3 linked regions of the Oryzias latipes genome follow. The protein of the gene in region 3 purifies or fractionates together with the protein of the main gene of each other region. This does not show direct contact. Links are inferred from orthologs where the notes say so. Each region holds a gene or a part of one and is shown on either strand. Other genes may lie near its edges.

Region 1 (3,651 bases), on a different chromosome or scaffold from region 3:
GCTTCAGCCGGAGCTTCTGTGGCTGTGTCGGATTTTTCTTCTTTTGGAGGGGTTGTCCCCTCTTCTTTAGACTCAGGTTGTTCCTCGACAGGAGTAGCCGATGCCTCATTCTTGACTTCTTGTTCTGAGTCAGTGTTCTCCTTAGTTTTCTCTTCTTTTACATCATTTTCCTCCTTTACATCAGCTGTCTCGTTTCCCTTTGCTGCTGCCTCCTCCTCCTCTTTCATCCTCTTGATGCTGCTTTTCTTTCTCAGGTTAGAGAAGAGCCCAATAAAGAAAAGCTTCCTGAAGGGCGATATGGTCTCCTTTGGTGTAGGAGGGGTTTCACTTTCCTTTTCAGCTTCTTCTGCCTTGGCTCCTTCAATGGACGCTTCAGCAGAAGCACCATCAGTGGTTTCTGCCTTTTCTGGATCCTTAGATGTTGACGCCTCCCTTTCTGTTTCCATTGTCTCTGTTTTGCTGTCCTCCTCTTCAGTTTCAGTCTCCTTCTCCTTTGCTAGTTCTTCAGTTTCACTGACCTCCTCTCCTTCTTTGTCTTTAACCGTCAGCAGCTTCACAGGGTCTGTTTCCTCACTTTTATCCTTCTTAACTGTGAATTTCAAGCCCACAATGGTAAAGATTTTCTTGAAGCCAACTTCACCTGCATCCTCTCCTTTTTCCTCTGTTGACTTGACTTCTATGGATGAAATATTGTTTGCCTCTGGAGACTCTTTATCCAGTTTCTCCCCATTCAGCTGGGGAGTCACTTCATCTGGGAGAGTGTCCATATTCTCTGGGACCTCTTCTTTTGGAGCCACAGTCCCACCATCTGGCTGGCCCACTGAAAAAGAAGGAAAGAAAGATGTTTCTGTGAAATGCTGATTCAATTTTATCAAATCAGTTGATTACTTGTTCATGCAGTCCTGTAATCCTGCAGAAGCATCACTTATGATGTTCACATGACCTTCATACAAAGTTACGATTTACAACATTCATTTGAACAAATTAAAGAAAGGATTAGGAAATCAAATCACTTGCATCTACCATAAATTCTGCTCTGTGGTTAATTCTTAAACCTTTAGCGAAACTAGGGAGTCAAAAGTTAAGTAATGTGAAACAGAAGTTTCTGACTGAGACTCCAACTTTGTGGATTTAGAAATTTAATTACAATAAAAAATCTGTTTGGACTAAGTTGCTGTAAAAAAATAGTGATAAACTTCCATCAAATGAGGCAGAGTTCACTTCATTTATTTGGTCTGATCTGCACATGAGCTGCTTTTAAAACCCAGATTTAAACAATTACCGAGCAGTCACTCCTTGGAAGTTAAACATTTGCCTGACAAGTATTGCAGTTAAAGTTGAGATAACAGACACAAACCACACATACAAGACGTCTCTCTGCCATGTCTGTCTGTGTTTTGACAGAAGGAGGCGTGGGGGGAATTATGGCCTGCCAGATGCACTGCAGTCTGGGAAAACCTCACATCTGATAGCCATGGGCTCTCCAGAAAATTCCCTAAATGTTTTATGTCTAGGTATCAGCTTACAGGATTACACATAAAGAAACATATCTGCTGTTTTAAGGCGTGCAAACTGTGGGAACCACTCTGAAACTGCCATTAAACAGCAGGGCAGCATAAAGACAATAAAGCATATTGGGATGATGGTTAATTATGCGAGTAAATCTCTTTAATTTATGAAAGCTGTTGGCTTACACAAAAATGTACAGCTGGGTTCCCACATCTGCCTAAATAATTTCCTAAATTATAGACGTAAAGCTTTTCAGAGTGATTCCAAGAAAATTAAAATATAAAACAGCTTGCTAAATTGACAGATAGATGAAATTAACTAAAACCTTTGGATTTGAACAAAGGAAAAGATCTGAATGAAGGCACGCCCGCTTCCAGGGAGGAATCCGAGCAATGTCTCACACCCCATTTTTAAAGAAAATTATTTTGGGATGCCCTAAATATAAACCGAGTTTGAATTCCAGGAGGTCCGAGGAATGTTTATTTGTTTTTTCATTCACGCCCCATCTTGTCTCCGGCCATGATGCATTCAAACCAAACAATACAGGACTCCTCACGACCCCTCCTTAAAATAAAGTCTCAGTCCCCTTGACCCACATTCCACCACAGCAGGATGGATAGTCAGCCCCCCTCCCTTGCTAAAGCATACACAAACATACAAGCACAATAGACTGGGCCCTTTCTGCTCTTTGAAAATAAAGAACTTCTAATTTATGATGCAGAAGTTTAGTAACTTTCTCAAAGCACTAAAAGCACTGGGGTGGTTCTAATTGACTCAATTGCCTTATGCTGGGTAGGGGGGCTCATGCTCCCTTTTGGGTGTTCAAACAGTTTTAATGCCGCGAGCTGACCAGAAACTTCACAGAAGCAGGACAACTCAGCATCTAAAGACGTGTGTGGGAGTTGCACATCGCACTCATAATGAAAGAGGAGCCCTGTTGATTTAACAGACTACCGGCATCTTTCTCTCAGCTTTTTGATCTTTGGCTCCCTGCTTCTTCTTTGAGCCGCACAGCTGTTAACATCTTTCAAGTTGTTTTTTTGTGCAAAAGCTGGGGTACTTGGGGAGAGCTGGTTGCATGGGGGTGACAGGGAAAAGATGCAGGAGCATGGGTGGGGTTAGCCACTTCACAGGGTGTCACATATCTCAGATGCTCATAGTTAAAATTCCCCTCTCTGCTGGAGATGGGCAACACTTGGAAGCCAAAAACCGATTGTCTCCAGTGAAGCCAGATAGTGTTTCCGATGTGGTCGCTCCAACTTTGTGGAGGGAGGGGGGGTGTTTGGTGGGGGTGGACGAGGCGGTTGGAAGTTTGAATAGCTGCTATTCTCTGAGCAAACTTTGAACAAATGTATGCAAATCCTTGACATAGTGTCTGCAGTTTGGACTTAGACAAAAGTGGTCAGTTAAAATAAAGAAAGCAGAGCAGGGTCACCCCCACCCTCCCAATCACCCTCCCCCCAGCGGAGACAAGACACAGCGACCCCTTTCTGTCTTCGAGGTGTGGTCAGTGTCTCTGCTGATTCGGGGGGGGGGGGGGGGGGGGGGGGGCAAACCAACAGCTTCACCGTTATTCCCTCATTTCAGACAATATCCGACTATTGAATCAGCAGGAAAGGGGTTGAAACCATCACTCCTAGCTGGAAGTTGTGAAGAAGAATCAGTGTTGGAATGCAATTGATTTAACATGACACCCCCCTCCTCCCTCTTTCCCTGCTCTGGTTAGATTTAATAACCCCCACTGGGAAATAGGATCCCACTCTAATTTGATAAAACACCTCACATGATGTGATGCTGCCTCAGAGGGAAGTTAAATCCGCCGTAGGATCATCAGTCAACTTTTGGGACGAAGACTTCTGATGGACATTCAAAGCGTGGTTGACTTTTCACCCACTGAAGATCTGCAGCACTCAGAGCAAAAACCGCCTCCGACTGAAAACCACTCATCCGTGCAGCTCATTCACCAACCACAAAGCCTTTCAACCACACCCTCAGAACAACAATGCTTTTGACCATCAAGGATGTTTTGAAATCATATGAAATCGTAAAATTATAGGGGGGAAAAGTGATACAAGCACCATGAAACAATATTCATGATATTTTACAATTTCCTTTCTGTTCTTACCTGTTAAAGTAATTGTT
Region 2 (3,651 bases), on a different chromosome or scaffold from region 3:
AGTTTGCAGCAATACAGTAACAGCATAATGGATTCATGGACTCGTTTTCAACTTTAAAGACAGTGAAAACAGCCAAAACTAAGAACAATTCAGTCGACAATGGGAAAAAAAAGGAGCACCATACGTTACATGCATGACGTGCAGAACTGAAAGTGCATGCATCACTCCTAAAATTTCAATAAATGTCACAGACTAATGTGAGGCCCGCGTGTTTGGCTTAAAATACAAACCTCTGTCACAGTAATGTCTCCATCAAAGGCAAAGTCAGTACGTTCGCTGTCCGTCTGCTTCCGCAGAACAAACCAATCCAAGGGGCAAGCAGGGAAAAAAACCAGAAGGACCCAACTTGTAAACGTGCAAATATGTCATTTCTGTCAGGAAAGCGTCTTCATAACCACAAATGGAACAAATGGGAATGTTCTGACTGCTGGAACTGTGAGCAACACATCATCAGACAAGAACAGCAGAGGAACTGGAAGCAAACAAAACGACTAAATGCAAATGAAACAAACAAGCAAAACAGACTCAGAGGAAGATGAAACCATCAATCAGTCACTTAGATCGATCGTTGATGAAGATTTTTTTCAATTTGGAGAGCGCCTGGTTTTCTCCACAGCCATGAGGGTTCAGGGTCGGAAACATGAACACTTCACAACCTCCCTCCTCCCTGAGACGTGCCGCGGTCGCTCCGCTTCACCGCGCCTCACGCTGCATTGATCAGATGGAGGGGAGTGGCCAGATGGAAAAAAACATTCCACAAACATCTAGCTGGGTTTGCTCTCCACTTCTGCTGCTTTGCTGGAGCCGGACGGCGCCGCTGAGAGACTGATTGCATGAGTGAAAGTGGCTGCAAACATGGACAGGTCTTGCATGCAGCTGATGGTCTGAGGTGCACACCATGGTGGTGGTGGTGGTGGGGTGACTCTAACCCTTATATTAAGGTAACAGCGAGATGTGTTAGGCGCTGACATCACTCTGCAGATAATGAGATTATACCGGAACGACTTTATTTTAGGGGAGTTAAAAGAAAGGGTGGCGATTTTGTGACTAATCCTTCCTAAGGTGGAGCAGCCAATGAAATGGTGAGACTTGCAGCTCAACCTCTGTAAGGCGGCGATGCAGATGATGAGGTTTGCTACAGGATGGGAGCATGACTGGGCAGAGAGTGGGACACTGGGACACACACACTGTCTGCAGGTCAGCTCTGAACAGGTGAAACAGGACAGTTATGGAGTTAGGTGGAGTAAACAGACCGCCGTGGGCGGGCATTGGTGTAGACAGGCGTACGCACACACCTCCTCTTCCTCTGAACTGTCATGGTCATGGTAGCCCTGGGCTATGGAGGCGGTCAGGGAGGCTGCCTTGGGCTCCAGGTAGCAGAGGCACAGAGCCAGGGGAAAGGAGAGGGTGAGAGCGTAGGGTACAGAGAAGGAGGTGGAGAGGAGGAAGAAGAAGATGAAGAGGAAGCAGGGAATGAGCGATGGGGACTTAATGGGCAGGAAGTTTTGCGCGCAGTGGGGGAGGAAGCTCATCTCAGAAAGGTCTGGAAAGGTGATGTAACCATCGTCATCCAGGATGGATGACAGGTGAGGCAGGTGTAGGGAGAAGGAGAAGAGCGTGCCACTGCGGCTTTTGCCCTGCTCCAGCCTTTGCTTTCGCGCCGAAAGCAAGAGCTCCTGCTCCTCCAGCAGAGCGGCTTTGCGGTCGGCGCGAGCCTGCCGGCGGCGGCACCCGATGCCGCCTTTGGCTGGACTGACTGATGAAGCCCTCTTATGGGCGCTCTCCCGGCGCCTCCGCCGCACTTTGGTGGACAGAACAGGAGATGACGGCAACGAGAGCTCAGAGCGGAGCGGGTCGGCTGTGTACGCATGAAGGGGGCGCTGATGGAAGGAAAGGTCAACCGAAGCGCGACGTGTGCGTCGGTGAGGAGAAGCAAAATGGGGAGGAGATGAATGCACACCAGCACGCACGTGTGTGTGTGTGTTGTGGGGTCAAAGGAAGGACAAGGGAAAAAAAGCAATTAGTAAAGCGTACACAAGATGAGAAGCAGTCAGACCTAACCTACAGCAGCGGCATGTAAAGGATTTTTTAAAGAAAAGAAAATTAAGAAGGTTTCCAAAAGCAAAACTGCCCCTTTATCCCACTGTTTATTTGACAGCCCCCCCTCCCAAAGTGAGAACAGCGCTGTGGGCGCCTGAATGCTGCAGAGGTGAGACGGCCGCTTACCTTTGGTTCCTGTGATGTGGCACCTGCCTCATGCGTGTCAGTGGAGTTCTTCTGAGCATCCTCCTGCTCCGTCTTCTCTTCCCTCTCTGTGGTTACCGTGGTGATAATGGCGGCGGCTTTGGTATCTCCGCCGGCAGTGCTGTCCTTCATCAGAGTGTCGTGGTTCTCTGCAATGGTAGCTGGAGCCCAGAAGGATGCAGGTATGTTAGAAATGTGAAGAGCGGTTCACGTGTGCACATGCTTCTTATGATAAGGGGGGGAGGGGGGTTAAAAGGTGCTTGGGCCGCCTCACCTCCATCTAAGCTGCGGGACATGTTGTAGCGCTTGCTGGAGGTGCGTTCAAAGAACGGCGCCGGTCGTATGATCTGGGAGCTGGCCCTGCGGGTCTGAGCCTGCGTCCTGCCGCTGTAACGGAACTTGGAGCCCAGGCTCAGGAACTTTTTCTGAGGGGCCTCTGGAGACACGAGCCTGTAACCGGTTTCAAATGTGCCCATTAATCAAACTGGAAATAACAGCAGAATTAAAACAAGCAGTGAAAAACATTGAAACTCTTCGTTAGAACCATCTCCAGGGAGCCTTCGGTGTAAACTTTCCACGTTCTGCTTAAAGCAGCAAGTCTGCATGAAGTTCTAATTAAGAGCCTAAACTCTGCCTTTCCTTCCCTACAGAGAAATCACACACAGCGACTGAATAAACTGCATGGTTGCACTTCTGTCATCACCCAAAGCCAGAAAACAGCAGAGAGCCGCGTGCACTCCCACCATCCGTCTTTCATTAACAAGGCATCCCATCCTTTCCTGTCGACCGACTTTAACCTGATGTTTTTCAATAAAGCTGCACCTGCTGCAGTTCCAAAGGGTCACACTCCTACCTGAAGAAGGTGTGGTGCTCCACACACACCTTCCATAGCCGTTTGGCAGCACGGTGGTTTGGGAGCTTGAAGCCAATTGTGCTTTCAAACTGCTCGAACTGCAAGATAGGAAAATAATGAGATCAGTTCCTGTCAAATGATATGCAGAACAGCCTGAAAACCCCATGATGTTTGTCAGATAAAGAACATTTATCAACTGCTTTTCACAAAACTAATCCAGACTTTACTCATTTTTTTAACAATTACAAGGAAAAAAGTCTGAACTAAATAAACATCATTAGACTAGTTTAAACCATTAGACTAGTTTAAATCATTAGACTAATTTAAACCATTAGACTAGTTTAAACCATTAGACTAGTTTAAACCATTAGACTAGTTTAAACCATTAGTCTAGTTTAAATCATCAGACTGGTGTAAACCATCAGACTAGTTTAAATCATTAGACTAGTTTAAACCATTAGACTAGTTTAAACCATTAGACTAGTTTAAATCATTAGACTAGTTTAAACCATGAGACTAGTTTAAACCATTAGATTAGTTTAAACCATTATACT
Region 3 (3,651 bases):
CACTTCAAACACGCCTGTGGGCGTGTTTGAAGTGATTGCTGTTGGACGAGTGACTGCTTTCTAGACTATAAGAGCCTCTTTTCTCTGTCTGGTCTTCCAAAGGCCTCTCCAGGAGAGTACAGCAGAAAGGGAGGGGTCGGTGTTGACTTTTACCGCACCTTTATACATGATCCTATCCTTTCCTGTGCAGGTGGGGAGCAGCAGTAAAGATCAAACCTGCAGTGTCAACTCTTTGGGTGCATGGATCTAATGCTGGTCTATGACTTCAGTTTGATTCTCAGTGATTTCTGGTTCAGAAGAAAGAACCTCTGTGTTCTGATTGGCTGAGTAATCTTGACAGCAATTGGTGTCCATATCAAACAGTTGAAGTAAGGATTTCCTAAATAAGTTTTCATTATAGAGAGGATGGAACTGGTGCACAGTGTAAAAATAAGTACAGTCTCATTGCTATACCAACGTCCATGGCTTCAGTTCTTTCTAGTGATAGAGGAAAACTGGCGTGCTCGTCATTTCTGTGTCAAACACCTTCAGGCAATTGATGGGATGCAGGATGAATGTGAACAGATTCAAAGCCACGTCACTGAAGATCCCTAAAACGAGGTATTCAAGAAATAAAAACAAGGCCACACATCCATCTGTCTTGGCCCGGCATGCATGGCTGGTGCCAAAAACAGCTGTGAAATGTCCATGAAAAACCACACGTCCTCGGATTCTAAAGCTGCTCAAACAATGTTACAAATCTGTACAGTATTTCCTTTTTTGTATTTACAGAAATCCCTTGTTACATTTGGCTCGGCGTCTTCGTCATGCAATCGCAGCAGAGCTGAGGATGCTGGAGAGCGGAGAAAGCGTATGTGCACAGCGCAGATGCATGAGCGCATACAGGCGGCAGTTAGGCATGTTTGATGGCTCCACTTTCAGCCCCAGAATTCACCATTTGTGGGTCAAACTTTCCTGGCATTCTTCAGGGGACCACACTTTGCTTTGTTGACCACACAATCTGACGTGTGGGATTGTATTCTCTGCCTCATCAAATGTGCAGCACTGAAAACAGGACTTCAGGTAGCAGCTTTTGCTGTTAGTGGACATCATTAACAAGGAGTAGTAGTGAAAACTTTCCAGGATCAGGATTCAAATGTCTGCAGAGCTTTGCATCAGGAGAACAAAACAGTCTGCAGAAATAGAAAGTGAGAAAGCTAAACTAACAAACGGATAAGTTAATCAGATTAATCCCTTACTTTTTTGTGAGGCCTTTGACTTGTTTTCCTGTGTTCCAAGTCTTGCAGCTTTGCAAGCTCACATCTGGAAAACACCAAACTTGTTCTCCACATTTCTCTTGACTCTAGAGTCAAAACTACAGCTTTCCTTCAGTCGCTGACCACAACTGCACACTTTAACATCCTCAAGACAAGCAAAACAAGGCAGAATGTGCCATTCAAAGTAGGAAAAATACCTACTAAACATAATAAATTATAGATTTAAAATACTTGTGATTACATAATAATAAATGCTAAAAACATGTTTCAAGTTAGCCATTTATTCTGTTTTTTCAGTTACACATTCTTATTCTTTCATCAATTTAGCTTCATATTTCTGATTTCCTCCTGGTTTTCTTTCAGAAAAGTTTTGCTTTTGTGGTTAGTACGACTAAGAAAAGCTCCACGGCTCAATAACTGTCTGACTTAAAGAGAGGAATTTGATGCTACGGTTAAGAAACAAAGAAACCACAGACACGTGCTTCAGACAAAGGACGGAATCAAGCAGAACTTCAGCAACAGCCCCCTAAAACTGCACACTAAATAGTATTTTCATTTTTAAACCCAATACTAATTTCTCCATAAATTGAAAGCGTATAAATAAACGCAGAGCTGTCATCTGAACAGCGTGAAGCTGGAAGCAAACTGAACGGCTAAACAATGACCTGCTGTGACTAAGAAACTCAGAAGAACAACCATCCGGTGGATTCACAGCTTCAATCTGGACTGCTGTCCTGAAACACTTTATGGCTTTGGAAGGATCAGGAATCAAAATGAGTCAGCCTTCAAGCTCAACACAACGCCTTTAGACGGAGGATGAAATGGTCTTACAGTGTTCCCTCGCTACATGGCGGTTCATCTTTCACGGTCTCGCCGTTTTGCAGAATTCTTCAGAGCAACCTTTCATGCTTTGTTTTTTAACTTGTGCTGTGTTCTGATTGGCTGTGGATACTGTCAATCAACTTCCTCCTCGCGATCAGATCTTTGTTTTTATTCTATAATACTGGACTTATTTTTCTATGAAGGTTTAAACTTTGAGTCTCAACGGGAGAGAAAATGTTCATATCTGTGTGATGGAGGAGCATAAAGTGTGTAGCGAGCAGCTTTACAGCCTTAAAACAACTTTAGTTGTATACAGTGCAGATTTCACCAATGTGGGTTATTTTTAGAACGCACCTTTGGCGATAAACGAGGGAACACTGTACTACCATGGATGAACAAACAGTTTTAAAACTGATTTTGTTTAGAATTCTCTGGTAGGAGCTTTAGCCTAAGATCAGCTGTTCTGTTTTGTTTACTGGAGCTCATCAGAGAGTGACTGAGCCGCGGATCACCACTTCTTGTGTGTTTGAGTGTAAGCTGCATGATTTCCCTCTCGCTGCTCCCAGGACCTCTGGAACAGAATCTCTCTGAAGGTTGTATTTAATGGCTTAGGAAGTCAATGCCAGCCTTGACCGTGCGCCCGGTGGAAACGTCCACCGCCATGGCCCGGATCTCTGTGTCACCGAACTGCATGAGTGTCTGGATCTCGCGGCGCTGGGCTGTGCTTTCTGTTCCGCTCACATCCAAGCGCAGGGTCCCGCACTTCCTGACCCCGGGCTCGCTGATGAAGCTCACGCTCTCCTTTTCGGAGCAGTAGACATGGATGACGATGACCTGCTGGGACGGCTTTGCTGGCGTGTAGCTCCGTTTGACCATCTCACCCAACGCCACAGACTGGTCAGCGGCGATGAAGGTGTCGAAGACGTCGGTACACCAGCGTGTCCCGTCCTTCACCAGGAGTTTCTCTGGCGGGTGCTTACCCTCCACGAAGCGGTTGAGGACGCCCACCCCGTAGGTCAGCGGGGAGCGGCGGACCTTGATGACGCTGGGGTCAAGGCCGAACAGCACGGCGCCTTTGAGGATGGTAAGACCGACGTCATGAGGGATGATGATTCTGCAGCGACCCTGGAGCATGTTCTGCACGGCCTGCTGCAGCAAGGGCGACTCAGCAAAACCTCCAACCAGGAAGAGGAACTTAATGTCGCACACCTCCGGCTTCTCAAAGAGCTCAGCTATGAGGGGACAAACACAAAATAGTAAATCATACAAATACATCCATTCCTAATTCCTACCAGAGTAACAACATAAAACAGCTAAAATGGGTTTATATATGAATATTTTTTGTCACTTTCATACACTTAGATTGGTACTTCCAACTCAGCCAATCCTCAACACTCTTCTGACATTCACACAGGAGTTTCTTTAAACTCTGATCATCTTTTGATCTACTCTAGTAAAGTGTTCCCAGTGGTCTTTTGATGATGAATATGAAAATCAAAACGTCTGTGACATTTTCTAGGACATAGTTTCGGCGGGAGTTCTTCAGAAATTAAACCATCAGTTGTGGGTGGGA

Evidence for each region.
Region 1: the proteins of heat shock 70 kDa protein 12A (region 3) and akap12 purify together in Homo sapiens (affinity purification with mass spectrometry; 3 studies listed by BioGRID and IntAct, with this or other methods). This does not show direct contact. The link is inferred for Oryzias latipes from reciprocal best matches to the Homo sapiens genes HSPA12A and AKAP12.
Region 2: the proteins of heat shock 70 kDa protein 12A (region 3) and epb41l3 purify together in Homo sapiens (affinity purification with mass spectrometry; 4 studies listed by BioGRID and IntAct, with this or other methods). This does not show direct contact. The link is inferred for Oryzias latipes from reciprocal best matches to the Homo sapiens genes HSPA12A and EPB41L3.

Annotation. Positions count from the first base shown.
Region 1 is NC_019882.2:8,913,378-8,917,028, reverse strand, and holds part of akap12 (A-kinase anchor protein 12), read right to left. Parts: coding exon of another isoform or gene 3,635-3,651; intron 821-3,634; coding exon 1-820. UniProt on the Homo sapiens protein: Anchoring protein that mediates the subcellular compartmentation of protein kinase A (PKA) and protein kinase C (PKC).
Region 2 is NC_019875.2:4,930,836-4,934,486, forward strand, and holds part of epb41l3 (band 4.1-like protein 3), read right to left. Parts: intron 3,196-3,651; coding exon 3,098-3,195; intron 2,695-3,097; coding exon 2,519-2,694; intron 2,406-2,518; coding exon 2,227-2,405; intron 1,881-2,226; coding exon 1,296-1,880; intron 288-1,295; coding exon 231-287; intron 1-230. UniProt on the Homo sapiens protein: Tumor suppressor that inhibits cell proliferation and promotes apoptosis. Modulates the activity of protein arginine N-methyltransferases, including PRMT3 and PRMT5.
Region 3 is NC_019873.2:4,649,116-4,652,766, forward strand, and holds part of heat shock 70 kDa protein 12A, read right to left. Parts: intron 3,311-3,651; coding exon 2,679-3,310; 3' UTR 1-2,678. UniProt on the Homo sapiens protein: Adapter protein for SORL1, but not SORT1. Delays SORL1 internalization and affects SORL1 subcellular localization.